Saccharomyces cerevisiae S288C: one gene and its partner. Changing the gene in region 1 together with any one later gene gives a genetic interaction. Each region holds a gene or a part of one and is shown in the gene's direction. Other genes may lie near its edges.

What was found.
Region 2: mutations in GDS1 (region 1) and AXL1 together harm fitness more than expected from each alone (negative genetic interaction), as found in Saccharomyces cerevisiae (2 studies listed by BioGRID).

What each region holds. Positions count from the first base shown.
Region 1 is NC_001147.6:996,220-1,013,293, forward strand, and holds GDS1 (Gds1p), read left to right. Parts: upstream 1-8,917; coding exon 8,918-10,486; downstream 10,487-17,074. Other genes in the region: serine/threonine protein kinase MEK1, read right to left, coding at 1-292; TFIIH complex subunit TFB6, read left to right, coding at 994-2,025; SOG2 (Sog2p), read right to left, coding at 2,234-4,609; MSC6 (Msc6p), read right to left, coding at 4,928-7,006; CIR2 (electron-transferring-flavoprotein dehydrogenase), read left to right, coding at 11,002-12,897; SNX3 (Snx3p), read right to left, coding at 13,005-13,493; HAP5 (Hap5p), read left to right, coding at 13,942-14,670; VTS1 (Vts1p), read left to right, coding at 14,970-16,541; 3',5'-cyclic-nucleotide phosphodiesterase PDE2, read right to left, coding at 17,022-17,074. UniProt on the Saccharomyces cerevisiae protein: Involved in nuclear control of mitochondria.
Region 2 is NC_001148.4:780,301-795,239, forward strand, and holds AXL1 (Axl1p), read left to right. Parts: upstream 1-1,744; coding exon 1,745-5,371; downstream 5,372-14,939. Other genes in the region: THI22 (putative phosphomethylpyrimidine kinase), read left to right, coding at 1-1; high-affinity Cu transporter CTR1, read left to right, coding at 5,908-7,128; YLH47 (Ylh47p), read left to right, coding at 7,661-9,025; YPR127W (pyridoxine 4-dehydrogenase), read left to right, coding at 9,783-10,820; ANT1 (Ant1p), read right to left, coding at 10,918-11,904; SCD6 (Scd6p), read left to right, coding at 12,387-13,436; peptide alpha-N-acetyltransferase complex B subunit NAT3, read right to left, coding at 13,611-14,198; 40S ribosomal protein uS12 RPS23B, read left to right, coding at 14,665-14,729. UniProt on the Saccharomyces cerevisiae protein: Probable protease. Involved in axial budding.

The sequences.
Region 1 (17,074 bases):
TCAAATACGTTCCATTAAGAGAACAATCTTTAACGTAGAACATTGGAATACTATCCTCATCAAAAAAGACACACCAAAACACGCAATGAACAGAGGAGATAGAGGGATTCGTTAGAACGAGTTGACATTCCTTATCATTTCTCCCAACTTTCACGAGCTGATGCTTTACTATAGGTATTGTCTGCTCTGTATTATAGCCGCCTACATTAACTTCCAGGTGAGCAGGAGCTACGCCACCTGCCATCTCAATATCATCTTTGGTTGCAAGGTTGCAGCTATACAACGGTCTCATTCCGCTCTTCTTCTTTCTGTTGTATATTTGGTCCTTAATAAAATTTGAAACGTACAAGAGCACTCCAGAAGGAGCTCAAGTAAAAAATTAGTCAAACCTCTCCCTTTTATACTTGAATGAATGAAATAGCCGCCGAAATTTAGCCGCCATCATTCTTCTTTTCCCCGGCTAAATTACCACGGTATGCTTTATGATTGGAAAATACCCATAAAGTAGGAATAAACTACAAATGATTCCACTTAATGAAAGATAAGCAGACAAATATACTGCATATAAGTGAAAAATAGTGAGGAGATCGCTATCAGTCAATATTGTGAAGGACCTACCTACTCTTTTTCTAGATATATATTTTTTATTTGCACAGGACCCCTCTTGCATAATTGTTCCTACTAATACGGTAGGTAGCACACAATTTTACACCACTTGCTTTACAATCATACCTCATAGGGCCTTCTTATTCTGATAATGCCCCTTTTAGAATGGCTAAACTGCTTACGTCCCGCTTTCTTACGCACTGCGCGCAACATGCAGGAAGAACAAACAACCTCGCCCTGTTTCCATAATGAAGGTCCTTGAAATAGAAGCCCCACAAAAGGGTGGAAATGTGGCAGAATAAACAGTAAGCTAACTGTTGTAGAGACTCCAAGCCCTGGTAAGGAAAGAAATATTATAAAAATAAAAGATTTCAACACAGTATTTTGATGTCTGAGCCAAACACACCATTACATGCTCAACCGAATGAGCAACTGGACTTGAACAACTTAAATGATCTAGATGAAAAAGACATTGATGATTTAAACTTGGATCCAAACTCAGATGTAGAAATTAGTGCAGACTCAGGTGATGTCGTAAATTCTAACATAGACAACGTTATATGGCAGCGTAATTGTAATAAGAAAAGAAGATATCATACACCAGAATTCAATGATGTTTACAATGAAACTAACAACACAATCAACGACGTAACTATGCTCGATGATGTTGACGATTTCCAGCCTAGAATAAACGTGTCTTCTCCCTTTTCGTCTGCCACAAAGCTGAGTGAATTATTGCCAAATGATCACAATGGAACGTCACACCCGAGAAGATTGTCAATGTCTCAACAATCCAAATTCATCTCTTACGTTGATGATCAGCTTTTACAAATTCAAAGAAAATTTGTTCAATCCAGGGGCCTGAATATCAAAAACGGCTATGCCAGTCTTACTCCGCTGCTGCAGGATTTAAAAACTTTAGTTGACTTCGTTTGGTATTCTATTGCCCATGTTCCAAACTCAGACTATTTACTTCAATCAGAAGAAAAGAGACATTGCCCAGATTCCCGAAACCCAAAAGATACATGCGGATATTCTAGTTATTTTGGTCAAGGGTCCTATTTAATAAAAATTGCGGACGATCTCATCGATTACGTTGAAAAATTTACATTCAAAAATATGGAAGACTCAGAGATTAATGACACTTTATCCAAATTATTCAAACTCTTCTTCATCCTTGACAGGATATTTGTAATTCTAACTGATGATAATGATAATTGCAAAGAAGTCCCTAAAACGTCTTCAGCCAGCAAGAACATAGCAGGATTGAATGGGACTGATATTGTGAGGTTAAAAGGTATCGCGGAACGAACAAGAGTTCGCCTACCCATATTTTTGGAATCCCAGGGTATCCATGGTTACCATTATGAATTAAGCAAGATTTACGAGGGATTTTTAGACCATGCCAATTCATTTTAACATTTACATTCAACCAGTGGCGTGTATCTTTTATACAATAAATCTGTAACTTTTAAAACTTCTGTTTCCGAACTCCTCATTTTTCATGCATAAATATATAAATATATATATATATATATATAAAGCATACATTTCAGTACCATGGGGTATATGATCCTCCCATTACGTATTCTAAAGTTCGCGTTTTCTCACAATGCAAGTTTTTATATTACTCCGGAGAGTTGGCGCTTACTGATACAGCCTTGTATGAACTCAAGTCCAATATCACAGTGACATCCTTGGTAATCTTCGCCAAGTTGGCTAGGTTAGGTCTCAGCTCATTCAAATTAGGCACGTCGCTCATTACGATTTTAGTATTAGCCAGAATTGATATTATTACTTTTAAGAACGAATTCATTATCTCCCACGTTTTCAGCTTCTCCAAAGATGTCAGATACTTCTCTGAATTTGAATCGTTCGGTATTAATACATTTAACCTTTCATTCAATTGTTTGGATAAATCCATCGCTTGACGACATGTTTCCGTCAAATCACGAATTTTAGGTGCTAGCGAGTCCGTCAAAATTTGCTTTCCCATGGTGCTAGCAATGGCTATCTTGGATATCTCTGAAGTTAACTGGTTATATACAACGCTCACCATTTTAACTACTGTGGACAACGTTTGATACAGTTGAATGTCAATATTTGTCTCCACTACATTAGCACTACTGTTCGCGGCACCACCACCATTCATCGGTGGTGGGGTTATATTAACATTCGAGACGTTATTACTATTTGATGCGTTAATTATTGAAGAAGTCATAACCGGATGCTGTTTAGGTTCATGCGCCTGTGACTCTTTTTTCGAATCGCTGATGGATTTATTGTGCTGAAGCAGCTGTTGCCTTGGAATAGTATCGCTAGTAGTTTTTACTTCATTCATGTTCGTTTGAGAACTTCCATTGCTTATTGCATTTTGGTGTCCCAAAATTGGACCATGGGTGTGTGCACCATTTAGATTTGGTGATAAAAGAGGAACAGCAGTGGTATCACCCGTCAGAATATTACTATTTGAAAGCAATGCAGATGCAGATGGTGTTCTTGTGCTCCTTGTTTTCGGCAGTAATTTTATGTTTCCGCTACAATGTGTACTGGTCGTACTTGCTGCGGGTCCTCCACCGCTTGTGATACTACTGGACGATGTCTCGTGCCTCGAAAAAGAATGTTTCTTGGGTGCCTTACTTGCAGAACCGGACACTTGATCATCTTCTTTGATAAAAGACCATGCATTATACATTTCCATATAAGCACACATTAATGTCATATAAAACATCCTTATGAAGCATAGATCGTCTTCTTTGAAAAAAATCTCAAAATTTTTTCTCAACAATGTTATAATTTGTTTAAAATTTGTGATGATAGTGAGGCACAGCTTGATTAACGCCTGATCATGCGATTCGTCTTCGTTCTCTGTTTGCTGCAAGACCTCCACCAGATTATCAGTATGTGATCTGACAGAGTATAATAATGATACTACATTAACCGCTACGGCCTTCTCTTTACAGAAAGAGGCGATTTTTCTGATAGCTTGTTGGCATTCTGTAAAACTAAATAGGAGCTTCCGACAGGAAACAACCAACTCTGCATGCGATATTTTTTGATGCCCGTTACTCATTGACTCTTCTGGTAAAATCGACAACCTCTTGAAGTAGTCATTATATTTGGTGTGATTGTATAGTTCCGTACCATTCACTGCCCCACTTTGTTCTGATTCTGCATTGACTGTACCACTGAAAGATGTTGCAGAGGTTTGATTAGATGAGACCATTGCAGTAGATGCACTTATAGTTGTATTTGCACTTGGGGCAAGTGAAATTATATTGTTTTCATTCATTGCTCCATTAGACAAGTTCGTATTTATGAATCCCATTCTTTTCGCTGCTCTAGATATTTTAGGTTCTGGAGTAGGTAGGTTAGGATGATCTTTTAGATATCGTGATATCGCAATTGCCCAATATTCTTCTTTGGGGATGCCCGTATGAAATGGAGTATAACTCTGTACTTGGTCAAGCTCTTCTTTGGGTATTTTATTATCCTCTAAATCCAAGATGCTCAGCTTGTTTAATTTTGTGATCGATTTCAAATTACGTATGCTAGTAACGTTGTTGTCTTTCAATGATAATACACGAATATTATCTTGCCAAAACGATGATATTTCATCTGGCAATGCTTCAATCTCATTGGAGGACAGATCCAAGATCTCTAATTGAGGGCATTGTGTCAAAATATATGGGATTTCTTTAAAATTGTTATTATGCAAATCCAGATATTGCAGCCTTGATAACCTCTTGAAACTCGCTGGTAAGGATGTTAAGTGATTTTTCCTTAAAGACAGTCTTTCAACATTTTGGATATATCCCACATCTTCATCTGATATGGACTTGATATTAAGAGCTATTAATTTTAGTGTAGTACCACTAGAGCTGGATTTCTCTTGTGTTGCCAACTCAGATATTATAGTGTTGCTTGAATTAGTGGATGTTTTGTCAGCAGGCAAATGTTCCTCCTTCGGATCCAACGTCCTCTTTGAAGATGTCGCTACCATACGTTACGGATACTTATAGACTTAACTCCCCCCAATAAGTTCAGGTGAAAAGTAGCATGGAGTTTTGGCATTAACTTTATTTGCCCACTTATATTTAGAGATCTTGAAATACTTTTTGTTACCCGACTTGTAGCTTCATTTTTTCATTTTTTTTTTTTTTTTTTATTTTTATTTTGTATTGTTCTTTGAAAGAATCATGCATGGAAGCAATAACTATTATACGGAAGTTATATACAAGAAATCATTATATAGTTACAGCATCATATGTGCAGAAAATTGGTTCTGAGCTTTTCTTATTGTCTTCTTATGACAAGTGTATTAAGTCAACTTTTCTGGAACAGTAATTCCATCACATTCTTTTAAAATTTGAATATCCTTAGGGTTGGGACGAAAACCCTCATTAGTGCCTAAATCTCGCATAAACTGGTTAATAAAAGCAACCTCTTTGTCAGATAACTGCTGAGTATTGCGTGCAAATGTGGCCAAGTTGAATAGAATTTTCGAAACGGCCAAGTTCGACACCCTGATACTTGAATCCTTAGCTAGATTGTAGTACTTTTCGATGTAGGGAACGTACTCGCTATGTTTACTCTTGTAAAGTTTATCACAGAACCCCAATAATAAAGCATTTAGAGGCGTATTATCCACGTTTCTCTTTCTAGTCTTTTGATATGAGAGAAAATCAGAAAACAAATTCTTTGCCTCGGCCACTGTGCCGTCAGGCTTATTAAACTCTGCGGAAATAAAGTCTGCATAATTCCTAGCATTTAAGTGAGTTCCCAATTGTTTGTAAAGTTGACGAATCGGCTCGACAGTGGGGCACACTGAAATAAAGGCTTTCGTAATCTTTTCAACCTTTTCATAATCGGTGGGATTAATGGAAACACTTTGCAATAGATCGAATTGTGGGCGTGTATCTTCTGCCTGAAATTTATAATTAGCGTACATTTTAATGCTTAGAGTATCCAAAGTAGGGGGTAACACACCATCTGATGGATAATGGTTATAGTAAAATGTGTTGAATTGTTCTTCGCTCACTTTTTCATCATCTAACATTAGCAATAAAACTTTATTGAACAACTTCTTGGTTTTAACAGTCTCTGCTAACTCCCCTTTGACTTGGTCATACTTTAGAGGCGAAGTTTGACATAAGGCCAGGAGAAATGCTTCCTTCACGATGGGATCTTTCTTGAACTTTTTAGGAAGTTCTTCTTCCCAAAATTCCTTTAAATGGTTGAAATTTCCAGAATCAGTTAGTGCGTTAACTAGCGTCGCATAAGATGTGTTTTTAATATTATCTCCTGGTTTGATAACACTGTTCCAGACTGCTAGAATTCTGTCCAACTTCTCTTTACTCGATTTAGCTCGTAAGTGCGACACAGCTCTTAAAAGACAATCTTTCAGCGACGTACTATTTGGGAAAACCTTGCTATACTGGTTATAAATAGTAACAACTTGGTCGGGTTTATCCAAATCAATAAACTTGTCCATGAACTTGCTTATGATCTCTACATTTTTCTCACCTTCAAGTTTATTGTATTGGCCATAAAGATCCCTTAAATCTATCCATCTAGGAGCATTTTCAATTTGACTTAAGAAATGATCACTATCCTGTACTGTGTATTGATAGTACAAAGTGTTTAGATTTTTGATAATCACGTCTCTTCTTTCAAGAGAGCTAAATTCTGTACTTAACATTCTTCTAATCATGTTAAAAGGTAAAACCTGGCCCATTTTACGATCGATCTGTAAAATCTTATACAGAATATTGATATCCACAGTATTCTCTGGTAAAGATAAGTAAGCAATGGTGGTAATTGCAATATTTTGCATATGTGCACGAGAAGAACTATTTTGAAGTAAGATCACTGGGTTTTCGGAAATGGTTTCCAAGTACTTCACCCATAAGGCAATAACGTCCTGTGGTGATTGATTATATAGAAGGTACTTTAAAACAATCGTGAAATGTTGTGAGCGTGCCAATTTGTATTGGCACAATGTGTTTAATACTTGATAAGGATCTAGCGTCATATTTTTGCTTCTGTAACTTAATTCCTGTAGGAGATCCGAAGAAAAATTCGCTAACAAGTGTGATCTTTCCATAGGTGAAGGGTTCCTTAATTTCTGTTTCAACGATTCAATCTTATCTTTAAAGTCATTAAAAACTTCATTGATATCTGAATCTGGAGCTTTCAACTCGTTCTTCAAATCAGCAGCCAAATTTTGTACCCTTTCAAACGGTGAGACGTGCTTTTCTCTATTTCCTGAATGTCCATCATCTGTTTCTTGTAAGTGAACGCTGCTTTGTTGGTATATCGATGTTGAAGAGGTTAGACATCTTCGTGAAATAATCACCTTTGAACAATCAAAGGCCCTTAAAGCATTATGGGAAAGCATCTGTATCCCAGTGGAAGGCTCTGATATTATTTTGTGCAGAGCCAACTTAAGCAAACATATAGACAGTACGTCCTTAGTTAGACATGTGTAGCAATTGAACGATTCCACAGGCGGTATGTATATCGTATATGATGATATTACATTTTACTTACCCCGCTTTTTCCCTCTTATAATCGATTAATTACTTAGTCGACGAGCAACCTTTTATGGCATATTTGAAAGGTAATACAATGTTCCAACTTCGTTTTTTATTCACAGATCAATTAACGTATTGGCACACCTGATATTTCCTCAATAGTAAGTAGTTTTGGTGATGTAACTTTGACACTACCTTCGACCGAATATTCACTTATAAAACTTATATATTACTTGCTTTTACTTCTAACTTGTCTGGAGAGTTCAATCTTTGTTTTCAGCTCTATATACCGGTTTTCTGCATCGGCGGCTAAATGGTATTCTTTTCCGCTTGGCTCTACACAATGTTTATTAAGCTGAGCGTCGGTGTTTCCGATTTGGACCGTTTGACTTTCTTTTTGGACTGGTTTTCTTTTTTAGTACGAGGTGTACGGACAAAAGATACTAACGGACAAAACGCGGTTGCAACTGAAATTTTTTTTTCACTATTTTCGTAGGGCACATTGGTGTAAATATATATATATATACTCAAGGTTCATCTCGTTTTTTTTAATATTCTTGTTCCTTACTCTTGATCATACGTAGAATGTATGTCTTTATCCTGAAAGTAAAGAAAGGATTATACAATGCTGAAATGTTAGTACTAAATATGAGCATACAATCACTTGTTGTTCACTAGTTCAACGAGTTTCATTCATATTCAACTCACGCAAGGGATTATGGAAGAAGAATCCTTTTTATGAAAGGGAAAAAAAACCGAAATACTATGTTAACTGCTTCCAACGCTCTATACTAATGCGCATGAAGATTTTACTTGCGAATCAAACTGATTCGCACGCAATATCTAAGTCTGCTATACCTACCTTACATCTCGCCGTATGTTATGGGTGCAAGGGTGTTTTTTTTTTTTTATATTTTTTTTGTTTGGGGTTTTCGATACTTTGTGAAGGAACGACGCAGAAAAAAACGAAAATCATACGCCCGATGAAATTTTTGATAAGAAAATTTTCTGAAAACCCATGCGATGAGAAGTCAAAAATTTTTCTTCTTCTCCTTTTCTTGTACTTTTATCCCGGCTAGTTCTTTTTCTAAAATTTTCATATTCCAGTCCAATATTTTACTTCATTTTTTTTTTCTGTTCTCGCTTGGCTTGATTTAATTTTTTACGTAGGTTTTTTTTACACGATATTGTTTGTATTATCAGTATTCCCTTCAAGCTCCCCTTTTTTTTATCAATTAAGGTTCTTGGTAATTTCTATTTCTGAAAAACCAAAAACAAAAAGTCATTGATTGACTATTTGACTCAAATTACCAAAATCATAACTTTTCTTTTCAGCATTCCATTATTGAAGGCTTTAAAATAATAGTTTCTTTTTTCCTATTATTTTATTTTTTCCTTTACATTGGAATACATTTTATTTTGAGTTTTAATTTTTTTTATTTTCTATTCCATTGTTTTTTATTTGCTTTGGACTGCCCTTTTCGTAATAATTTCCCTTTTTACCCTATTTTAGTCACTTCTGTGTCAGCAAGCGGGATTATATAAAGAAACGTTAGCAGAAACAATATCAGCAAAATAGAAAATAAACGGGCAATCAATCAATAACTACAGAAATATTGGGAGGTTTTAACTAATTTTTCCAGGATATTTCAACTTTTCATAAATCAAATTTTTTTTACTTTTTTTTTTGCTTTGCTATAGTATTTTAGAAAAGGACAAAAAAATACGAAAAAAGACAAAAAACCATATAAAAAAATTGATTAGAAGAACTTATAATGGCATTGGCAAATTCCAGACCTTTGCAAATACCAACTTTAGAGAATGAAATTCTTCATAACTCAAATTCTCCAGTATTTCAGTTGAATTCAATGGGATTTACAACTAGAGCTGACACTATTTCGAATCCAGGCACGGATCTTATCGGCAACCAGCCAGGCATGGCCCTTGATGATAATAATTTGGCCGGTTCTTCGTTTTCCTCATCTCAGGAAATAAAAGCTACCAAACCTAAGAAGGACTTTGGTGCTCCCAAAAAAGACAATCCATTATTAGAAATTTCTAAGCTAATACCTGTTACTGGTGAGAGGCCAAAACCCGAAAATAGAGACTCCCCTCTGGATGATGACGTTCTTCACGCAGTTTTTTTAATATTATGGGAAATGGATCCGAATCAACAAGGCATGACCGTCAAACAACTGTGTGACTTGCTTTTGCAAAAACATCCAGATATGTCCAATTTATCAACCAAGTTGTCAAATTTAATTTCCGCAAAACTGAACGCTTATGTTAAAAAAATTGAAAAAGGTGAGAAAACGTTAACTTATGCTTTATCAAGGGAATGGTCTAATTCATCTCCTAGAAGGATGCTCTATATATACAGAGGCATATTATCTCCCGATTACAAGGAGCATGCTCAAGCTGTTACGATGCAACTTAAACAACAATTGGAGACCTCCGGTGATACAAGCGACTTTAATTCAAATGGCAAGAAAAAAAGGGAGTCCAGCAGTAACCAGCTAGTTAACAATGACAGTTATTCAAGTTCTATGACGGACATGAAAAATATGTCTTCTAACAGTTCCTTCTCAAAAAATTTGAATGTAGGGAATCTGGCCTTTTCATTAAGTCCAGAATTCAACATACCTTATTCCACTTCTCCAGTGTCACTAAATCTTTCCCCATCGATGAGTAATAATCAGCAACAATTACTGACACCTAATTCGGCATCGAAGAGTAAAAACAATAATAAAAAAAGAAATTACATGGATGAAGATACTAACGAGTCAATGACCGAGCCAAAGAAAACCAAAACTACTAAACCTGGCAAACAAACAAAATCCCAATCTTTATCAGTTTTATCCACCCCCAAAAAGGGTTCCTCTGCATCTCTTTCTACATTTGCAAGCTCCAAGAATATTTCGCCAGATTCTTCTCTGTCGCATAATGCATCGTCAAATACTTATGTTACTGCCGCTGCCGCTGCACCAAGGCTTTCTAAGCTTTTGCCGAAAAATGGGTTTAAGAAAAATTCACGTAGCTCTTCTGAACTGGCTGCTATCCATAAAGTAATCTCTACACAGACTCCAATTGAGAGCTCTTCAGAGAGCTCTCAATATAACAGTAGTAGTAGTTCACCAGTTAATAGTGCAGCTGCTTCTTCTGCTGAATCTTTATCCGACATCAATTCCAGTCAGGATAACGGAAGAGAATCAAACCCAAGTTCCCAAGAATCACGAAACGAAGTTACGAATTGGATGAAAATTGTGAGAAATGGATTTTTGACACATGATATTGAATCTCCTGAATCAATCACATTAGATGACCTAGAAAATATATTCAATTGATTTTTATCTCCCTTTACAAGAGCATAACGGCTGCTCTACACCTATGTCGTTGTTTTTTTTTATCAACTAATAATATGTGTTCCTCTCATTTGGACAATTTTTAGCTAGTTCTAACTTTCACTACAATATTTAAATAAATAAACAACCATAAATAAATAAATGAAAAACAACTAAACCGTTAGAGGTGGACTAATTTACTGTTAATGACAGTAATTTTTTTTTTTTTGGCTGTTTTCGGTTATTCCGGATATATATGGATTGATCTTCATTTACCCCACAGTTAGTTTATCCGAAATTTGCGGGAAGCTTTATTTTTTGTTACCAATGGATCGCGATTTGCCATGACTGTAGAAAAGAAAAGGTTAACTGAAAAATTCAACTTTTTCAAGCGGACTGAGTAGTAGTGGTCCCCACTTAATTAATTTATTCAATACGTTATATACTTACTGTTACTTCAGGCCACATAAAAGAACAAACTTAAGCTAGACAGGAAAATCCACTCTGGGAAAGGGAAAATGATTAAGTTCACTAACGAGAACTTAATTAGAGGGATCCGAATGACGATTTCCGCAAAATCTCGTCATTTGGCTCTAGGGACAGATATGACGAGAAAGTTTAGCTTGTCGTGTAGGTTTTTGAACAAAGCAAATCTTACTGAAGAAGAGAAAGAGTTGTTAAATGAACCAAGGGCGCGCGACTATGTGGATGTTTGTATAGTTGGAGGAGGGCCTGCGGGATTAGCAACAGCAATCAAATTAAAACAGTTAGACAATTCGTCAGGAACAGGCCAATTGCGTGTCGTTGTTCTTGAAAAATCCAGTGTATTGGGTGGACAAACTGTTTCCGGCGCTATATTGGAACCGGGAGTGTGGAAAGAACTATTCCCTGATGAAAAGTCTGACATTGGCATTCCGTTACCAAAGGAGTTAGCTACGTTGGTAACTAAAGAACATTTGAAATTTTTAAAGGGGAAATGGGCGATCAGCGTTCCAGAACCATCTCAAATGATCAATAAAGGACGTAATTATATTGTCTCTTTGAACCAAGTCGTCGGATATTTAGGAGAAAAGGCAGAAGAAGTAGGAGTTGAAGTTTACCCCGGAATAGCTGTCTCGGATCTCATATATGATGAAAACAACGCCGTTAAGGGTGTAATTACTAAAGATGCTGGTATTTCGAAGTCCGGTAAGCCTAAGGAAACCTTCGAACGTGGGATGGAATTTTGGGCTAGACAAACTGTATTAGCAGAGGGCTGTCATGGTTCCTTAACAAAACAAGCCTTGGCAAAATATGATTTAAGAAAAGGCAGACAGCACCAAACTTATGGATTAGGTATTAAAGAAGTTTGGGAAGTCAAGCCGGAGAATTTTAACAAGGGATTTGCAGCTCATACCATGGGGTACCCGTTGACAAATGATGTTTATGGCGGTGGTTTCCAGTACCATTTTGGTGATGGGCTGGTCACTGTGGGCCTTGTCGTGGGGTTAGATTATAAGAATCCCTATGTTTCACCTTACAAAGAGTTTCAAAAGATGAAACATCATCCATACTATTCAAAAGTTTTAGAAGGAGGTAAGTGTATCGCTTATGCTGCAAGAGCATTGAATGAAGGTGGACTGCAATCTGTACCCAAGTTGAATTTCCCTGGTGGTGTTTTGGTAGGGGCTAGCGCGGGTTTCATGAACGTTCCAAAGATCAAGGGTACTCATACTGCGATGAAGAGTGGATTACTTGCCGCTGAAAGTATCTTTGAGTCCATAAAAGGGTTACCTGTCTTAGAAGAGGTTGAAGACGAAGACGCCAAAATGGCTATGTTTGATAAGGAGGCAACTATTAACTTGGAATCATATGAAAGTGCATTCAAAGAATCATCGATATATAAGGAACTATACGAAGTGCGTAATATTAGACCGTCCTTCAGCGGGAAACTTGGTGGATATGGTGGTATGATCTACTCTGGAATCGATTCTTTGATATTGAAGGGAAAAGTTCCGTGGACACTGAAATTTGATGAAAAAAATGACGGTGAAATTTTGGAACCTGCTTCCAAGTACAAACCGATAGAATACCCCAAGCCTGATGGTGTGATATCCTTTGATATATTGACCTCCGTGTCTAGAACCGGAACCTACCATGATGATGATGAACCATGTCACTTGAGGGTTCCTGGACAAGATATGGTAAAGTACGCCGAGAGAAGCTTTCCCGTTTGGAAAGGTGTTGAATCGAGGTTCTGCCCAGCAGGTGTCTACGAATTCGTCAAAGATGAAAAATCGCCTGTGGGTACGAGACTGCAAATCAATTCACAAAATTGTATCCATTGCAAGACCTGTGATATTAAGGCGCCCAGACAAGATATTACTTGGAAAGTACCCGAAGGTGGAGATGGACCAAAGTACACGCTAACTTAATCACAGGATTCATTATTTATTTAATTATTTTATTCATTATTTATTTAAATTTTTCTATTCATTCTTTTATATAATCTATATTATTTATTCACGTAAAAGAGTTCTTTTCAGCCGACAAACTTTTCAGCTTCAATGAACCTCACGAGAACTTTAGAACCAGATTGTAAAAGCGGGTGCCCGGCTACCGATTGCATCCAGGTATTCAAACCTTGTCTCCTCTCTTCAATGACTTCGTTACTAAATCTATTACTCAAGAGAATTTTACCCGGTAAATGAGGTACCATGACTTTTGGGTGATTAAGCATAGAAATTTCCTTGATCAAGCATTTGCGGAAGAATTCAAAGTCTGAGTATCGTCTCCTTACTTTCGATACCCTCTTGTGAAAACTTGGCAAGTTTGTACGGCATATTATTTCGTAATCTGTAAACATCCCCTTCGAATCCATCCCATTTGGTATATGAGTTTTAGGGTTGTGCACCTCAATCTCTAAAAAGTTCTCAGGCTCAGCGTATATTTCGCTGTAACTAGGCTCTCCATGTCCTTTTGACAGCAAAGACTTTTCTGTAGACCCAAAGGATTTGAATTCTCTTGGCATACTTTGTGTAGATGCGTACCGCTTCTCAGCTGTTCTTGCCGTCCTCTTTTATGCAGTATTAAGATCCGTTTTAATCCATTCATTCATTGCAGGTTTACATATCAATACATATCACTTAGTACGTGATAGTGCCCAAAGCTATCCTCGAGTTCACTTATGCAATTCTGAGCACCCCATAGCCAAGTCCTCATAGTAAATCATGGTCCCTCCTAGCGCAATACTTACTAGAGTGTAGAAATCCCGAAATGTCAAAATCGAAGAGTGTTGTGCTCCCTTTTCCGTAGTTAAACTTAAATTTGCGTGGGACGGCTCCCTTAAGATTGCTTCCGGAGATTAAGCTTCCTTAGCTGCTATAATACCGCGTAAGCAAAGAAGAAGAATAGAGGGGAATAGGAGATAATGTAAGAGTTGTGACGCATTTGCAGCATCAGGATTGTTTACTCGCATAATGACTGATAGGAATTTCTCACCACAACAAGGACAAGGACCTCAAGAATCGCTCCCGGAGGGACCGCAACCCAGTACGATGATTCAGAGAGAGGAAATGAATATGCCAAGGCAATATTCAGAACAGCAACAACTGCAAGAAAACGAAGGGGAAGGGGAAAATACGAGGCTACCTGTTTCTGAGGAAGAGTTCCGGATGGTACAGGAGTTGCAAGCTATCCAGGCGGGCCATGACCAAGCTAATCTACCGCCAAGTGGTCGAGGATCGCTTGAAGGCGAAGATAATGGAAACAGCGACGGCGCAGACGGAGAAATGGACGAGGACGATGAAGAGTATGATGTGTTTAGGAACGTTGGTCAGGGATTGGTGGGCCACTACAAGGAGATAATGATCCGTTATTGGCAAGAATTAATCAACGAGATCGAGTCTACGAATGAACCTGGTTCCGAGCATCAAGATGACTTCAAATCACATTCCTTACCATTTGCGAGAATCCGCAAGGTCATGAAGACGGATGAAGATGTCAAGATGATTAGTGCAGAGGCCCCCATCATTTTCGCCAAAGCCTGTGAGATCTTTATTACAGAACTGACTATGAGAGCTTGGTGCGTGGCAGAAAGGAATAAAAGACGAACTTTGCAGAAGGCAGATATCGCAGAGGCCCTGCAAAAGAGTGACATGTTTGACTTTCTCATCGATGTTGTGCCTAGAAGACCTCTTCCACAATGAGAGAGTTAATGGTTATACAGCTGCCATTTGACCGTGCACCACAGCAAATTATCTGTTGGAAAAAGAAAAAACGCAAATTTTTTTCATTATTTTTTTCCAGAATAAGTTTGGTAGCAAATTGGCGATGAGATATCTAACAACGACTACTACTACTACCATAGGATTGTCTCGAATACATTGTGTTTTGCAGTCACACTGGTACTTCGTCCCTTGGGCAATCTAGATCACTGTATATACTATAGATATTGTTTTCAGAAGAGAAAAACTGTTCATATAAAGTAATTGTCAGCAAAGAAATCATGAAACATCCGTATGAGGAATTCCCCACAGGTTCCAAGTCACCATATAACATGTCTAGAGGAGCTCATCCAGGCGCCGTTTTGCTATCACCACAATCTTCTGCCATAAACAAGAACAATCCGGGCAGCAATTCTGGCAATAACCAGGGCAATTCATCCGTGACCGCGAATGTTTTGTCCCCTCAATCCCATAGTATGTCACTCAATGACATGCTTGATCAGCAATCCTTTATGCTAGACACTGCGGGAACCAGGGCTCAGCCGCTCCAGCAACAACAGCAGCAGCAACAACAGCAACAGCAGGCGTCGTTGCCTTCCCTTAATATTCAAACAGTTTCGTCTACAGCAGCTGGTTCTGCTATCGTTTCCCCCATGATGCAATCTCCAAAGGCGTTGCAATCTACTTTATCTTCAACATCTATGTATTTGGATTCATTTCAGAGATCTCCAAATAATATTTTGGGTATTCCATCGCAGAGTGGTTCAATTCCTTTGCCGCAATCCCGTCAATCGCAACAACAGTCTCAATCCCAAAAAAACGATCCGAACATGGGCACCAATTTCAGCCAAGACATCAACCAATTATGTTCTTGGATATCCATGCTGAACAGCAGCCAACAAAATACTGTAATGGACAATATCCTTTCCATTTTGAATGATGATGTTTTGAAATATACTAAGTTAAAAATAGAGACTTTGACAAACACTCCCTTCATCTCCCCACCGCTACCTGCAATTGCATCACCTATACCTAATAGGGATGACACACAAATTTTGAATATTGATTCAGTCTTTTCTTCAAGTCCTATAACTAATGACCCTGAAAATACCGATAACTTGTTGTATCAAAATTGGTCCCCTCAGCCACATTCAATACCAATTAGCCAACCCATATATGACAACATCACCGACGCTAGTCAAAGGTCCAAGTCGGCTGAGCCTCATGTTAATTCAAGCCCAAATCTCATTCCTGTCCAGAAACAATTCAACAACGGTAACAGTACCAAATATAAAAAGTTGCCATCAGAGAATCCCAACTATCTTTCTCACTCTCTCTCAAGTTCCCATTCTTTTTTCCAACCAAAGAAAAGGTCTAACATGGGAAATGAGTACAATTCTCATCACCATCATTCATTGCATCATCCTCTGCATAATACCACCTCATATTTTTCGAATACTTCAAGACCATCAGGAACTGATTTGAATAAGTCCAACCAGAACGTGTTCAATAATACCATTACGCATCCTAATGCTGGTCCTACAAGTGCCACATCGACATCTACATCATCTAACGGAAACACTCCTTTATCGAGTAACTCTTCGATGAATCCAAAGAGTTTGACAGACCCCAAGCTACTAAAAAATATACCCATGTGGTTAAAATCGTTAAGACTACACAAGTATTCAGATGCCTTAAGCGGAACCCCGTGGATCGAATTGATTTACTTAGATGACGAGACTTTAGAAAAAAAAGGCGTTCTTGCCTTGGGTGCAAGGAGAAAATTGTTGAAGGCTTTTGGAATCGTTATTGATTACAAAGAACGTGATTTAATTGATAGATCTGCTTATTAAATCTGGCATAATAAAGTTGATTGTCTTGACGTTGCATAAAGATTTAATTTTTATTTACTTTGCATATACCAACACAGGGAACATATTTCATTTATTTTGTAATTTTAACGTTTTCTTTTATGGAGTTTAATATTTTAGATTACACCTGTTTTTGCACCGTTTAATGGCATAAAACTATTTACTTAACTTTTAACTCGGGAAATATGTATCACTATACTAAAAAACATTAATTTAATCAAAGAAAAATAAATTTAATGTATGTATCTATATATATATATATATATCACTTAAAACAGACAATAGCCATAATCAACTGGGTTATTATTATACAATATTAAAGGAAGAACGCATATTTGAAAAAAAAATAAAATGGGTAATGAATTTTAGCACAAATACTTCACAAAAGGAAATATACTAGTAGTAAATGTATATATTTATATGTTTATACAATGAATGGTACAAGAAATTTTGATATTCTTGCTATTGTGGTTTCTTGTGTTTCATCCAGTATTCTTTATTGATTTTGACATTAT
Region 2 (14,939 bases), on another chromosome or scaffold:
ATAGTTACAATATTTTTAACAGAATATATAAAATACATATACAGAAATGATAAACTATAAACGCAAAAGATTAGCGATACGAAAAAAGGATTTCTCGCTATTATATCAATTTATAAAGAGATCCTTTGGAAATATAAATTATGTTCATTTCATTTTTTCAACTTCTAGAAGGATGACTAACTATTGTTTCCATTTGCTAGCATGGTAAATTAATACATTTTTGAATTTGCTGCTAGGGTACAATACCATGCAATGTTTATAATATAAATCAAAGTGACAGAGATTCCTAAAAGCTAAAACAAATCCATTGATAATATAATAGTAGGTTGGTCAATTCACCGCAGATTCAATGTAAGTATTGATACTCCATAAATGTTAACTTCAGGTTGATATTCGTTACAAAAATCTTAGTTTGCTTTTCATTACTATCTGAACGGAATGCTCAACATTTTTCTTATTCTACAATTGTACAATGTCACGTAAACAGTTTGATTTGTGTATTTACAGTGGAAACATTTTACTTGTTGGCAATAGTACATGCGCAGATAATCAAAAACCATTGTTTCCGACATTATTTCTGACAATTGCTTGAATTTGCTGAACACTTTTCGAGGTACATTCTGATAAAGAGTGCATTATTAGTTATTTAGAGTATATTAAGACATCTTCTCGAAGATATATAAATTCGTAAAGGAAACAAAAATTTCGGGATAACAAAAAAGTTTCTTCTTTTTACGTATTAAATGGTCTATTCATCGATCCTATTTCACTATCAATCCTATTATATTATCAACTTTTGCATTTCTGCTTCCACCAAAGTCGACGGCTGTTTCTCATCGTTTATGTAATATCATAACGCATGTATGACATTATATCAGTGGCATGAGCGCTAGTCCATGAAATAGGAGTTTAACTCCAACATACGGAACATTCGCATTATCGCACACGTAAGACTCGATATATTAAGGAAGGAATTTCCGAGTTGGATTAATAAAGGAAAAATAAAATATAGTGTTGGAAATATAGTTGCCTCAGAATAATATCAATATAATATTAAAACGTATATAGTTAGATACCCGGTATTATTCGAGTACGCATTAATTCAGCAGTATGACTTTCTGTGCCTGCTTATATATTGTAACCGTATGTTGTTCTACCTTAAAAATTTGCTAAATTGAAGGAATTGACTATCGTCACTGAAGAGTATTCGTATTATGGTATTATGATACATTGTCTAAAAAAAGGATACCATTTTTCTTCAATAGAACAAGAAGAGAATCTAAGGACACCATTTCGAGAAATAGTTTACACAGTATATCCAATAACTCCAATAAACTACTTTCCTATACAAATTTCCGATGGTTGGATTAATAGTAAAACTTCTATACTTCTTTCATCCATCAAGAAATTAAGGTAAACATCTGGTAAGCACTATCCAACTTTTTTCTGTTACACATATGGTTTTTCTGCAATCATTTCTTCCCACTTTGCATGAGTAAGTGTCCCATTTTGTCTCAAGCCGTTAATCTTGAAACCGCAGGCGGAGTTACTTGATGCGGTATTTTACATGCCTTTTTTCACTGCAAGAAAAAAATGAAACACTTATTTACACGATTTTCAGGATAGTTTACGCTGGTGAGTATGCAGAACAGTTAACACCTTTGTTTTATCCTTTTGTGTCTTGATTATATAATATAAATGTGCCTGGCGTTAAAAAATAGCAACTGAATAAGTTTTTTTACTGATGTCCTTGAGAGAAGTAACTAATTATGAAGTCTCGTTTTACATCCCGTTGTCTTACAGCAACAGGACTCATAAAGTTTGTAAACTGCCAAACGGAATTTTAGCATTAATAATATCGGATCCAACAGATACTTCAAGCTCATGCTCACTGACTGTTTGCACAGGTTCCCATAACGATCCAAAGGATATTGCCGGTTTGGCGCACCTTTGTGAGCACATGATTCTTTCTGCCGGTTCCAAAAAATACCCTGATCCTGGTTTATTCCACACACTAATCGCAAAAAACAACGGCTCTCAAAATGCCTTTACCACAGGGGAGCAAACGACTTTTTATTTTGAATTGCCCAATACTCAAAATAACGGCGAATTTACATTTGAATCTATCTTAGATGTGTTTGCCTCATTCTTCAAAGAACCGCTCTTCAACCCTTTACTGATAAGCAAGGAGATATATGCAATACAAAGTGAGCATGAGGGAAACATATCATCAACCACAAAAATATTCTACCACGCAGCAAGAATATTGGCCAATCCCGACCATCCTTTCAGTCGCTTTTCCACTGGGAACATACACTCGTTATCTAGCATTCCACAACTGAAAAAAATAAAACTAAAGAGCTCATTAAACACTTACTTCGAAAATAATTTTTTTGGGGAGAATATAACCTTGTGCATAAGGGGACCGCAGTCTGTTAATATTCTTACGAAACTAGCTCTATCAAAATTTGGCGATATAAAACCCAAAAGCGCTGTAAAGGAAAGGAGTATATCGATTAGGACGAGGTCATTTCGAAGATCGAAGTCTTTAAAAAAACGCCAAGATTCTTCCAAAAACGACTACAGTGACTTGAAAACCTTTAAAATACTGAACACAACGTGGGAAAAAAAATACAAAAATACGATGTGTTTTCAACAATTTCCTGAATGCAATTCGATATTTATCAATTCAAATAAGGTACCTATAATGAGACTTCTCTTTCCTGTTAGCGATAAAAACACTCGGTTTACAAAGGATGACATTAAAATATACAGTCATCTTTGGTGTGAACTTTTCGGCGATGAGTCTCCAGGATCTTTGAGCTATTACTTAGCTTCAAAAGGCTGGCTCACAGGCTGTTTTGCCTTTACCTCAGAATTCGCTATTGGTGACATAGGATTAATTTTGGAATTAGAACTGACAAACAGTGGCTGGGAAAATATTAAGAGAATTACGACAATAGTACTTAATAGACTCTTGCCTTCCTTTTACGTAATGAACATCGATTACTTAATCACTTTTTTGAAAGAACAGAATTTGATCGACCTCGTTAGCTTTCTGTACCAAAGTTCAGAGGATCTTCCAATGGAAGAGTGCTCAAAATTAAGCGGTATTCTTCAGGACGATTTAGAATGTTTAACCCCCCCTAATATATTCAAAGGATTTAAATCTCTTATAGAAATAGATGATCCCAACATCGAAAAATATGAAAACACAAAGGCCAATATACAATGGTGGACAGGGCAAGCTATTAAGTTCCAAAATTTTTTAAAATCTTTCATGAATCATGACAACATGCGCCTTTTACTCTTAGGGAATATAAAATCTGGTAATATATTTGATAAAATGAAAAATAAAAGTGATATATGCACCGATTTTTTCTATGAATTTGAGTATTATACGGCAAACGTTCATCTAGCAAGTGATAATAAATTTCATTCAAACAGCTCGTATGAATTTAATTTTCCCACAGGTAATCTTTTTTTACCAGATTGCGTCAGCGATCCTTTAAAACTACAACAGCTCTTCTTAGAATGCTCGTTAAAATCGAAATTTGCTACGCTTAGACCTCAAATTTATAGTGAGCCCACTAGGACAAAGCCTCAATTAGTCAGTGAGAACCAGAATTATGAGATGTGGATCTTAAAAGAAGACCCAAATTTTGCCTCAGACAATAAATCCGTCGTATCATTTGAAGTTTTGGGGTTAGGCATCAAACCTAGTCCGGAGGCAACAATCCACCTGGAAGTACTAGCACAGGCATTATTTATCATCACCTCTTCATTCCTTTATCCCGCTCTGAGAATTGGTTACACATATGAGATTGCCTCATCTAGTAAGGGCAACGTAACACTGCGATTTACTATTTCTGGATTCCCTGAGGGTGTTTTCACAATAGTAAAGACGTTCGTGGATACGCTAAAACTTATTGCAACAGATCCAACGTTTCTTTCTAAAGATACCTTGAGAAAGGCAAGGATTTTAGTTAGAAATAAATACAAGAACGCGTCATCGGACAACTGCGTGAAGCTAGCTAGCGTTGGATTGCTGATTGTTTTAGAGAAATATATATGGACTTTAGAGGATAGAATTAATGCATTAGAGCTTACCGAGTTGGAATCCTTCGAAAAATTTTGTTTTTTATTCTGGAGGAATCCTAAACATTTGGTCTTGTTCATGCAGGGAAGCCTTGAATATGCTGACGCAATCAACCGTTACTTAAATAACAATTTTACGCAGCACCTAAAAATCAGCAATGAAGGGAGCAAACCGACCATACGTCTCTACCCTCCTCCCAGTACAAAAGATCTAGATCAAGGCACAAATGCCTTTATATCATATAATGGTCACCAGGATGATCCCAACAATAGTATTGTGTATTTTATTCAGACTGCACAAAGAGATGACATCAAAAATCTGACACTAACCTTTCTTACCGAATATCTATTTTCACTAACGCTAGTGCCTGATCTAAGAAATAAAAAGCAAATTGGGTACATTGTTTTGGGAGGACTCAGGGTTTTAACAGACACTGTTGGGATTCATATAACCGTAATGTCTGGCAGCTCGGGGCACAATCTGGAAACTAGGATCAATGAGTACTTATCTTACTTGCAGCTGCAGGTGCTAAATAGATTCACCGAGTTTGATTTTCGAAGGATACTTCTAGAGCCGTTCTTAAATCTTTTAAAACAGAACAGTACGAAACAGTTTGAAGGGTCGGCTGGTCCTGTAGACCTATTAAATGAGATAGTGGCAAATGTGCAAAATGGTGATAATTACACTCTCAACAATAAACAAATGAGACAACATAGGAAGGTAAGAAATAAAATTGCGGAAGGAAGGCTTAATTTTCAAGAAGATCATGAAATGATTGATATCTCATTTTTGCAAAAATTAACTCTAAAGAAATATTTAGCATTCTTCGAGTCCAAAATCTCTATATATTCCGCTCAAAGAAGTAAGCTATCAATAATGATCACAAGTCCAATGGCAGAGAAGGAAATTGCAAGCAGGAAAATGTTCCTTCAGCTAGAGGCCTTTCTGAAAATAAACGGATTCGCCATAAAAAATGAAGACTTGAAGAAAATTGTCGAACATTCAAAGGGAAATCCTATTTTACTTGTAAAGAACCTTTTTACTTATTTTCGTAGGAGAAATGAAGTTTTCAAGCTCGGAACCGTTGTATTGCAGGAAATATTGAAAATCATCGGAATGAATCTTAAGCAGAGATACGGCTCTATATTAGGGTTTTCTTCCCAAGATGGTGAAGGACAAGAAATAGAAAAATTTTGGAACAACGACACAAGTCCGATTGTTCCTCTTCAGGAGCTTCCTGAACCAAACTTTTTCCGCAAGGCCGCATTTTGAACCGTATTTTGCTCGTTCCAGCCTTTCCACGTTTTTGTTATCTAAGCAACTTGGCACATTTCCCTACTATACTACAAACCGATACGTAAATACTTCCCTAAATAGCATATGAATTATTCAGTAATTTTTAAGGATCGAAACTGCACCTCAACTATTCGTTACTGTGGTTATGTTCTCATGTATTGATGCAAATCATGGGATATTTGCTCAAGACGACGGTAAAATGAGCAAAAATGGCACGATCCTGAAAAGAGCACTTTTCAAGATTCGGGCTACAAAATGCAACATAAAAAATGTTGTATTGTCATCTCGAGAGGGTCTTGTATGTTTTATTCCTCTTATGATTAGTTCACATTAGTAAAACAGATACGCAGTGTGCTCTTAATAAACAACTACTCCATAGCTTTATTTGCATAACAAAACTTTTAAGCACAAACTTAAACAGGTGGAGTAATAGTTCGGCGGCGACTCAAATTACATTTGTTGGAAGAATCGAATAGAAAATAAAAAAAAGTGTATTATATTTGACATTCAAAATGGAAGGTATGAATATGGGTAGCAGCATGAATATGGACGCCATGTCTAGTGCATCCAAGACAGTAGCATCGAGTATGGCGTCGATGAGCATGGATGCGATGTCTAGTGCCAGCAAAACGATATTATCGAGCATGTCATCGATGAGCATGGAAGCGATGTCCAGTGCGAGCAAAACGTTGGCGTCGACTATGTCGTCAATGGCAAGTATGTCGATGGGAAGCAGTTCAATGTCAGGTATGTCTATGTCGATGAGCAGTACACCAACAAGCTCCGCCAGTGCACAGACAACTTCTGATTCTAGCATGTCAGGCATGTCAGGTATGTCATCGTCTGATAACAGTAGCTCTTCAGGGATGGATATGGACATGAGTATGGGAATGAACTATTATCTGACTCCCACATATAAAAACTATCCAGTTTTGTTTCACCATTTGCATGCAAACAATAGTGGTAAGGCTTTCGGTATTTTCTTATTATTTGTTGTGGCTGCTTTCGTCTACAAACTACTGCTTTTCGTTAGTTGGTGCCTTGAAGTTCACTGGTTTAAAAAATGGGACAAGCAAAATAAATATTCCACTTTACCTTCAGCAAACTCCAAAGACGAAGGAAAACATTATGACACAGAGAATAATTTTGAAATTCAAGGTTTACCTAAGCTGCCAAATTTATTAAGCGATATATTTGTTCCATCTTTAATGGATCTCTTTCATGACATTATAAGGGCGTTCTTAGTATTTACCTCTACGATGATTATTTATATGTTGATGCTTGCTACCATGTCTTTTGTTTTAACATACGTTTTTGCTGTAATTACTGGGTTAGCTTTATCGGAAGTCTTCTTCAATAGATGCAAAATAGCCATGCTAAAGAGGTGGGACATCCAAAGAGAAATTCAGAAAGCGAAGAGCTGTCCTGGCTTCGGTAACTGCCAATGTGGTAGACATCCCGAACCCAGCCCTGATCCAATTGCTGTTGCCGATACCACTTCCGGAAGTGATCAAAGTACTCGCCTGGAAAAGAACAACGAATCTAAAGTTGCGATTTCCGAAAATAATCAAAAGAAAACACCTACACAAGAAGAGGGATGTAATTGTGCCACAGACTCAGGAAAGAATCAAGCAAACATAGAGCGCGACATCCTTGAGAATTCCAAGTTGCAGGAACAGTCCGGGAATATGGATCAAAACTTACTTCCGGCCGAAAAATTCACTCATAACTAATAACTAGACAAGGTTCGTCCACCTATATCTTCTTCTTCCAATATCTCTATACATCAAAATAAGAATATCGTTCATTTCTCAGAAGCTCAAAAAAAATCTCAAAATGGATACTTCTAATGCCCTCATGAAGAGGAAAGAAAATAATAGACACAGCGACCTTCCTATAAATAACAGACTTGTATATAGTTGAATGTCTAAGTAATTTTAATTCAAAAATCCTTAACTATATTACCACCTTGCAATAATAAGAGTGAAGTGTTAAAAATGATACTTGCTTGCCTTCATCGAGTTACCGTTGTCTCCCACGTTTCTTTTTTCTCGTTGGACAGAATTGCTTCCGCGCGAACATTTTCCACTTTTATTTGAAAGAGGACATTATTCAGATCGTGTCAGTCTCATCTAATTGGCAAAGTGGCAATTTTCGAAATAACAAGATAACTGCATAAAGTAACACTTGTCGAATTGAAAGTATTTTGCCAGTGATATTTAGGTTCGAGTAAAGAAAATTTCATAAAGAAATCAACAAGACACAATGCTGAAATACAGGTCTTTGCCAATCAAGAGAGCAATCCATCATCCGGCACCAGGAATTACTCCAATTTCTCCCCGTATTATGGTAAGCAGGTTGAGAGTAATACCATCTTTTAATTTGAAGTTCAATCGTTGGAACTCTTCGGTGCCAGAAAGCTCGAAAAAGGAGTTAAAAACGACAGACGGAAACCAAGAAAGTGCGAGTAAGGTCTCTCCAGTAAAAGAGAAGGAAAAAGTACCCTTTAAGGTTAAGATGCAAAAAGCCCTTCGTCATTATTGGGATGGTTCCAAACTTTTGGGGTTGGAGATAAAAATTTCTTCCAAATTGCTCATGAAGAGTGCTGCAGGCTACCCATTGACGAGAAGAGAAAATTTACAACTGAAAAGAACTACTCAAGATATCGTTCGGTTGGTTCCATTTGCTGCTTTCCTCATTATACCCTTTGCTGAACTTCTTCTTCCATTTGCATTAAAGTTATTCCCCAATTTACTTCCTTCTACTTATGAATCAAGTAAAAAACGCGAGAATAAACTAGAAAATTTAAGAAACACAAGGAAGTTAATGTCTGAAATCATAAAGAATAACAAGTCCCATTTTAAACCTAATAATATTTCCGAGGAACAAAAAGCTTTGTTTAACAGGTTCTACACACATGTCCGTGCTACAGGAGTGCCGGAGTCTCGTCAACAGCTAATCGAAGTAGCTAGATTATTCACTGATGATACTGTATTGGATAATGTGACAAGACCTTACTTGATTGCATTAGCGAAGTATATGAATTTGCAACCATTCGGCACTGATGTGATGCTACGTTACCGTATCAGATACAAAATGCTTGAATTGAAAAAAGATGATCTATCTATATATTACGAGGATGCAGAACAACTCTCCCTCTCTGAATTGAAAACAGCATGCGCCTCCAGAGGTATTAGAAGTGTAGACGTAGAGCCTAGCGTGTTATATTCGAATCTAAGATTGTGGCTGAACATGAGGCTCAAGGATAAGATCCCATCCACGCTGTTAATCATGGCTACTGCCTATAACTACGGTAATGTGCAATCAAAGGAGTCATTGTACGACGCATTATGTGACGTTTTAATCGGTATCCCTGATGAACTATACCATGAGGTTAAAGTAAACGTCGTTAAGGAAGATGAGGCATCCGCTAAGCAAAAATTGAAACAATTGAGGGAGCAAGAAGAAATTATGAAGGAAGAAGAGCAGCAAGAAGAGAACGCCATTGTGAGCGTCAAGGATGAGTTGAGCTTGGACGACCAAGACAAGAACATAGATGCGGCTGCTCCAGACGTAAAACCGCATGACACCAAGCCTATCGGAGAAGCCGCTGCCATCAAAGAGAAGTAACCCAGTTTTCACCTGGCCCATTAAACCGCACGATACACTCTCCGCTACTCTCGCCAACATTCTTTTTATACATACTTGCACGAAACTGCTTTTTTAGCAATGAAAAGAAAATGTAGTGAACTCTACTATAGATTTTGTACATAAGATAAATAAAATACACTACTATATGAAATTTTTGTTTGTAAAGCTGGTGTTTGCACACATAGATAGTATCAACGTAGGGGATCAACACATGCACGACTACTAGAAGCCTTACCCGTAACTTCTTGCATATCTGCTTTGCCAATATTTTTTTTTAAAGTTATTTCTTAAACTACTCCTCGTGCTGTCCACATTTTTACCCGTTAGTTGTTAGACAAAAAAAAAGCGCAACTATCTCCCTTTTGCGCATCTCCCAAGTCCTTTACCAAATATATTAGAAGAATGACACCCGGCCGAGACGGATGAAGCGGCCGTCTCGGCCGCCTTAGGAAGGGATCTGCGTTTTTGTTCGTTAATGAGGTAATCAAGGGCGTACTTGGTAGAACGGTACTAAGTTAATCATTGCTGCTCTCCCTCAAAATTACTCAAAGAATAGAGTGTCTATTGAACCGTAGAATAGGCATTTATTATATAAGGGGTTGTCAATTTACCAAATTTTTTACTTCATCTCAGGACTCTCTCTTAAAATTATTTTCCTTGCCATTTTCTATGTTATGTAGAATAGAAAAACAGGTACATATTAACTAAAATATACACCAAAAAAAGTAAAAATAAAATGTCTGTCGCCGATTTGAAAAACAACATCCACAAGTTAGATACTGGCTATGGTTTAATGAGTTTGACTTGGAGAGCCGAGCCTATCCCTCAGTCGCAGGCTTTCGAGGCCATGCACAGAGTGGTTGAGTTATCCAGAGAACGTGGGCACAAGGCCTTTTTCAACGTTGGTGAATTCTATGGTCCCGATTTTATTAATTTGTCGTATGTTCACGACTTCTTTGCGAAATACCCAGATTTGAGAAAGGATGTGGTTATCAGTTGTAAAGGTGGTGCAGACAATGCTACCTTAACCCCCAGAGGCAGTCACGATGATGTTGTACAAAGCGTAAAGAATTCAGTTAGTGCTATTGGTGGCTACATCGACATCTTCGAAGTCGCAAGAATCGACACTTCCCTATGCACGAAAGGAGAGGTCTACCCCTACGAATCGTTCGAAGCGCTTGCTGAGATGATCTCCGAAGGCGTTATTGGCGGTATTTCATTAAGTGAAGTTAATGAAGAGCAAATTAGAGCTATTCACAAGGATTGGGGAAAGTTTTTGACCTGCGTTGAAGTGGAACTTTCTTTGTTCAGTAATGACATTTTACACAACGGAATTGCTAAAACATGTGCTGAATTGGGGTTGTCCATCATCTGCTACTCCCCACTGGGCAGAGGATTGTTGACAGGTCAATTGAAGTCAAACGCTGATATCCCTGAGGGTGACTTTAGAAAGTCGTTAAAGAGATTTAGCGACGAGTCTTTGAAAAAAAACCTGACCTTGGTCAGGTTTCTACAGGAAGAAATAGTCGACAAGCGCCCACAAAACAACTCCATTACTCTTGCACAACTGGCTTTGGGATGGGTTAAGCACTGGAACAAAGTTCCGGAATACAGTGGCGCCAAATTTATCCCAATTCCAAGTGGCTCTTCTATTTCCAAGGTTAATGAAAACTTTGATGAACAGAAAACCAAACTTACCGATCAAGAGTTCAATGCCATTAACAAATATTTGACTACTTTCCATACTGTTGGTGACAGATACGAAATGGCGTAAGGTTAAAAAAGTGAATCTCCATTGTTTATATAAATTTTAAATTTGATATGTAAAGATTCTAAACGCAATGTGCTTATTTCAGTAATAGTAAGGATTCTCAAGTGGAAGCCAGCTTGCGTTGTCCGTTGTGCTTTAGGAAAAAAGAAGAGTACAAGAATATTAGCCTCTTTAAAGATTTTGTCAATTCTCCTCTGAAAGCAAACAACAGACCTTGCACAATGACACCCTTTGTCAATTGAGGAAGAACTCCCTTCCAAAGAGATTTTAACCCTTCATTTTTGTACAAGTATAGTAGCGCTTCTTGGAAAGTAGTGAATTTAGAGCCAGCGCTTTGAAGCATTGCTTTAGCGACAATCAAGGGTTGCGTAACTAGAGTCGAAATCATCTTGGAAAGGACACCCAAAATGAAATTTTGCACTGCTGACAAACTGCCAGCATCGTTGGAATGGTCATGGAAAAAAACTTCTTTAAGTCTTTGAAAAGAGGCATATGTGATGGAAGGATTTATCGTCAATGCTAAACCTGTTCTTAAACCTTTCCAAAAAGCAGTTATGTCCCCATTATTTTCACGGTAAATGTCCTTAATAACGTTGGTAAATTTGGCAGACTCTGCAGAATGGACTGTTTGTTGTCTTGTAGCTACCACAGCCATGGGACTAGTAAAAAGTTGCGATATACTGGCAGCTGCTACCCCAAGTACCAATTCTTCAATCGTAGAAGGTGTGATAGGACCATCGCGGTTTTTCAGTGATTGCAGTCCTAACAGCTTATGTTTCATGTAGGACTTTCTGATAAATGTGTACCAAAAGAAATAAACAAAATTCTGGACAAATGTGGCCACCGTAGTGACTGTCATACCTTGATACAGACCCAAAATACCCTTTTCTTTGAATATGTTTATCATGCAATCTACAACATTCTTATATCTCCTATTGGGCAAAACTTTACCTTCGTTACTATCCTCACTTGAAGAAGGAGATACTTGTGACTGAATGATCGTCTTCGATAAATCCAGCGGATAAACTGCAATATTGGCCATTGCCGAAGCCACAGCGCCAGTTAATGCAGACTCTAGAGTTAACATTGATGATATGCTCGTAACAATCTTGGCCTAGCTTCCAGGGTGTCTGTACTTTTACGCAGCATCATATTTTCTCTATTTTTTGCACATCTTCTTGCTCTTCTTATATTTACCAATTATCTGAAATAGTCACTCGGACCGAGATGCAAAAATCGGATTTAAAACTCGATCCGAGGAGAACACCAAATGACACAACTTCTATCAATGCAATTGCCCTCTAAGTATCATAGATGCCGCTATTTTAAATGACAGTGCAATCGATTTCCATATTAAATGGATAAAGGTGTTTATTATGAAGATACCCATTACTGACGTATATGTAATGATTCCTCAGTCCAGTACCATAGTCCCGTCACCTTACACGGTGGAAAAATTAAACTGTACCCGCGATTGTAAAGAATAACGTGGAGGCAGTCAGAAAGAACAATAAACGAATAGTGAGGATGTCGTAGAAGAAGCATTCATCGAAAAACAGCAGCAAGGCAATGTCGCAGTACATCGGTAAAACTATTTCTTTAATCTCTGTGACTGACAACAGATATGTGGGGCTGTTAGAAGATATTGACTCTGAAAAGGGTACCGTGACTTTGAAAGAAGTTCGCTGTTTTGGTACAGAAGGTCGCAAGAACTGGGGTCCTGAAGAAATTTATCCGAATCCTACGGTATACAATTCTGTAAAGTTCAACGGCAGTGAAGTCAAGGATTTAAGCATTTTAGATGCTAACATCAATGACATACAGCCGGTTGTTCCTCAAATGATGCCACCCGCTTCACAATTCCCTCCTCAACAAGCTCAATCTCCACCCCAGGCTCAAGCTCAAGCACACGTGCAAACAAACCCCCAAGTTCCAAAGCCCGAATCCAATGTGCCAGCAGCTGTCGCTGGATATGGTGTTTACACCCCAACTTCGACAGAAACCGCTACTGCTAGTATGAATGATAAGAGCACTCCTCAAGACACCAATGTAAACTCGCAAAGTAGGGAAAGAGGTAAAAATGGTGAAAATGAGCCAAAATATCAAAGAAACAAGAATAGATCAAGTAATCGCCCTCCTCAATCCAACCGCAATTTCAAAGTCGATATTCCGAATGAAGATTTTGACTTTCAATCAAATAATGCAAAATTCACGAAAGGTGATTCCACTGATGTGGAAAAAGAAAAAGAATTAGAATCAGCTGTTCACAAGCAGGATGAATCTGATGAGCAGTTTTATAATAAAAAATCGTCTTTTTTCGACACCATCTCCACTTCTACTGAAACTAATACCAATATGAGATGGCAAGAAGAAAAAATGTTGAACGTTGACACCTTTGGACAAGCTTCTGCCAGACCAAGATTTCACTCTAGAGGCCTCGGTCGTGGGCGTGGAAATTATAGGGGAAACAGAGGAAACAGAGGAAGAGGCGGCCAACGTGGAAACTACCAAAACAGAAATAACTACCAAAATGATAGTGGCGCCTATCAGAACCAAAACGACTCGTACAGCAGACCAGCCAACCAGTTTTCGCAACCTCCTTCCAACGTTGAATTTTAAAATGATGTTTCTATGTAAATTAAGTATATCATTCAGTATGTACATACAAAAATCAAATTAATAGTATTATAGTCCGCGCCTCTGGATAGTATTATTTTAGTGCGTATCGCAAAATATGAATAGCACAGAGGTTCATTATTATGTTCTGAGTATGAGGACGAGGTAATACATACCTTAAAATCTTACATCATGTGGATAGCATTTATGGCTTCTTCCATCCGGCCGTACGCTTCTGTTCCTGTCCCTAGCCATAGCTTTTCTCATATCAAAAGCATCTTTATTGTCATCTACTTTTTTCAGGGTATCTGGATACCCATCTTCAGCTGAGTTATAATATCCCACCACTCTCCTGTAGACACTGTATCCCAATTTTTCGTAAAGTTTGATGGCCAATTGGTTATTGCACTTGACGAAAAGATCGATAAAGTTGACTTCATGGGGCATGACATCGGTCATGGTCTCCAAAGTATTACATAACTTCGAAGCTAGCGATATTCGGCGGAATCTTGGAGCTACTGTCACTGCAGTTATATGAGTGTGCCACTCCGTGGTCTTGCCTTCTGTTTTTGCCATCATGTAACCAGAGATATTATGCTTAAATGTAGGATCAACAGTCATTTCTGAACTTTTGAAAAAAAGGTCTGGCCATATTATCATGTATTCAAAATAAAACTCTAAAGGGAAGTTTTCTGTTAAGATATCAAGGTTGACATTGTTAGTTTTGAATAAATCGACAGGTTCAAAAGGCTGAATTGTTGTCATTTCTCGAATCCTCCTGTCTCTTTCCTTGAATATTCTCAATGTTCCACTATCTTTCACATAAGCAATATTGTGAACTATATATACTTCATTAGATATTGCTTCAACATTAATATTAATAAAAAGGACATGCATAAAGTAACATCCGAACATCTCCAAACACCCATACATATTTATATTATCGACGAGGGAATTTTTTTCTTCCCAGGCCCACCAACGTGCGCCCACCGCTATGTTTTTTGCGCCTAGGTAGGTGGGCTAGCTTCTATGTATCAAAGCTCCTTCTGCGCAGCCGAGGTTTTGCTAAGCACTACCGCATTGGAATGACTGTGTTTGTAGGAGCTCCTTGTCTCCACGCTTTCGCAATTTTCAAGATCGAGATACTATTAGTGATGGTAAGGTTATGAAGCTTACATGTTTAATATTGTAGATTCCAGAAGCAGGTAAGAACAACAAACTACAAGAAAAGATGGGTAAAGGTAAGCCAAGAGGTTTGAACTCCGCTAGAAAGTTGCGTGTCCACAGAAGAAACAAGTATGTACAATTATAGAAGATTGCACTATGGTTGAAAGATTTTCATAATAAGTAGAAGAAAGGATCGGCCATTGCTACCATGAAATGAGTTGGAAGCTTGAAAAAGTAAGGGAGAATAATTTTGCAAGAAACTAGGGTAGGGCTACTTAATTTATTATAGCCATTTGAATTCATCAGCTTTTAGGAGGAGAAAGGCCATTTTGCGAATTT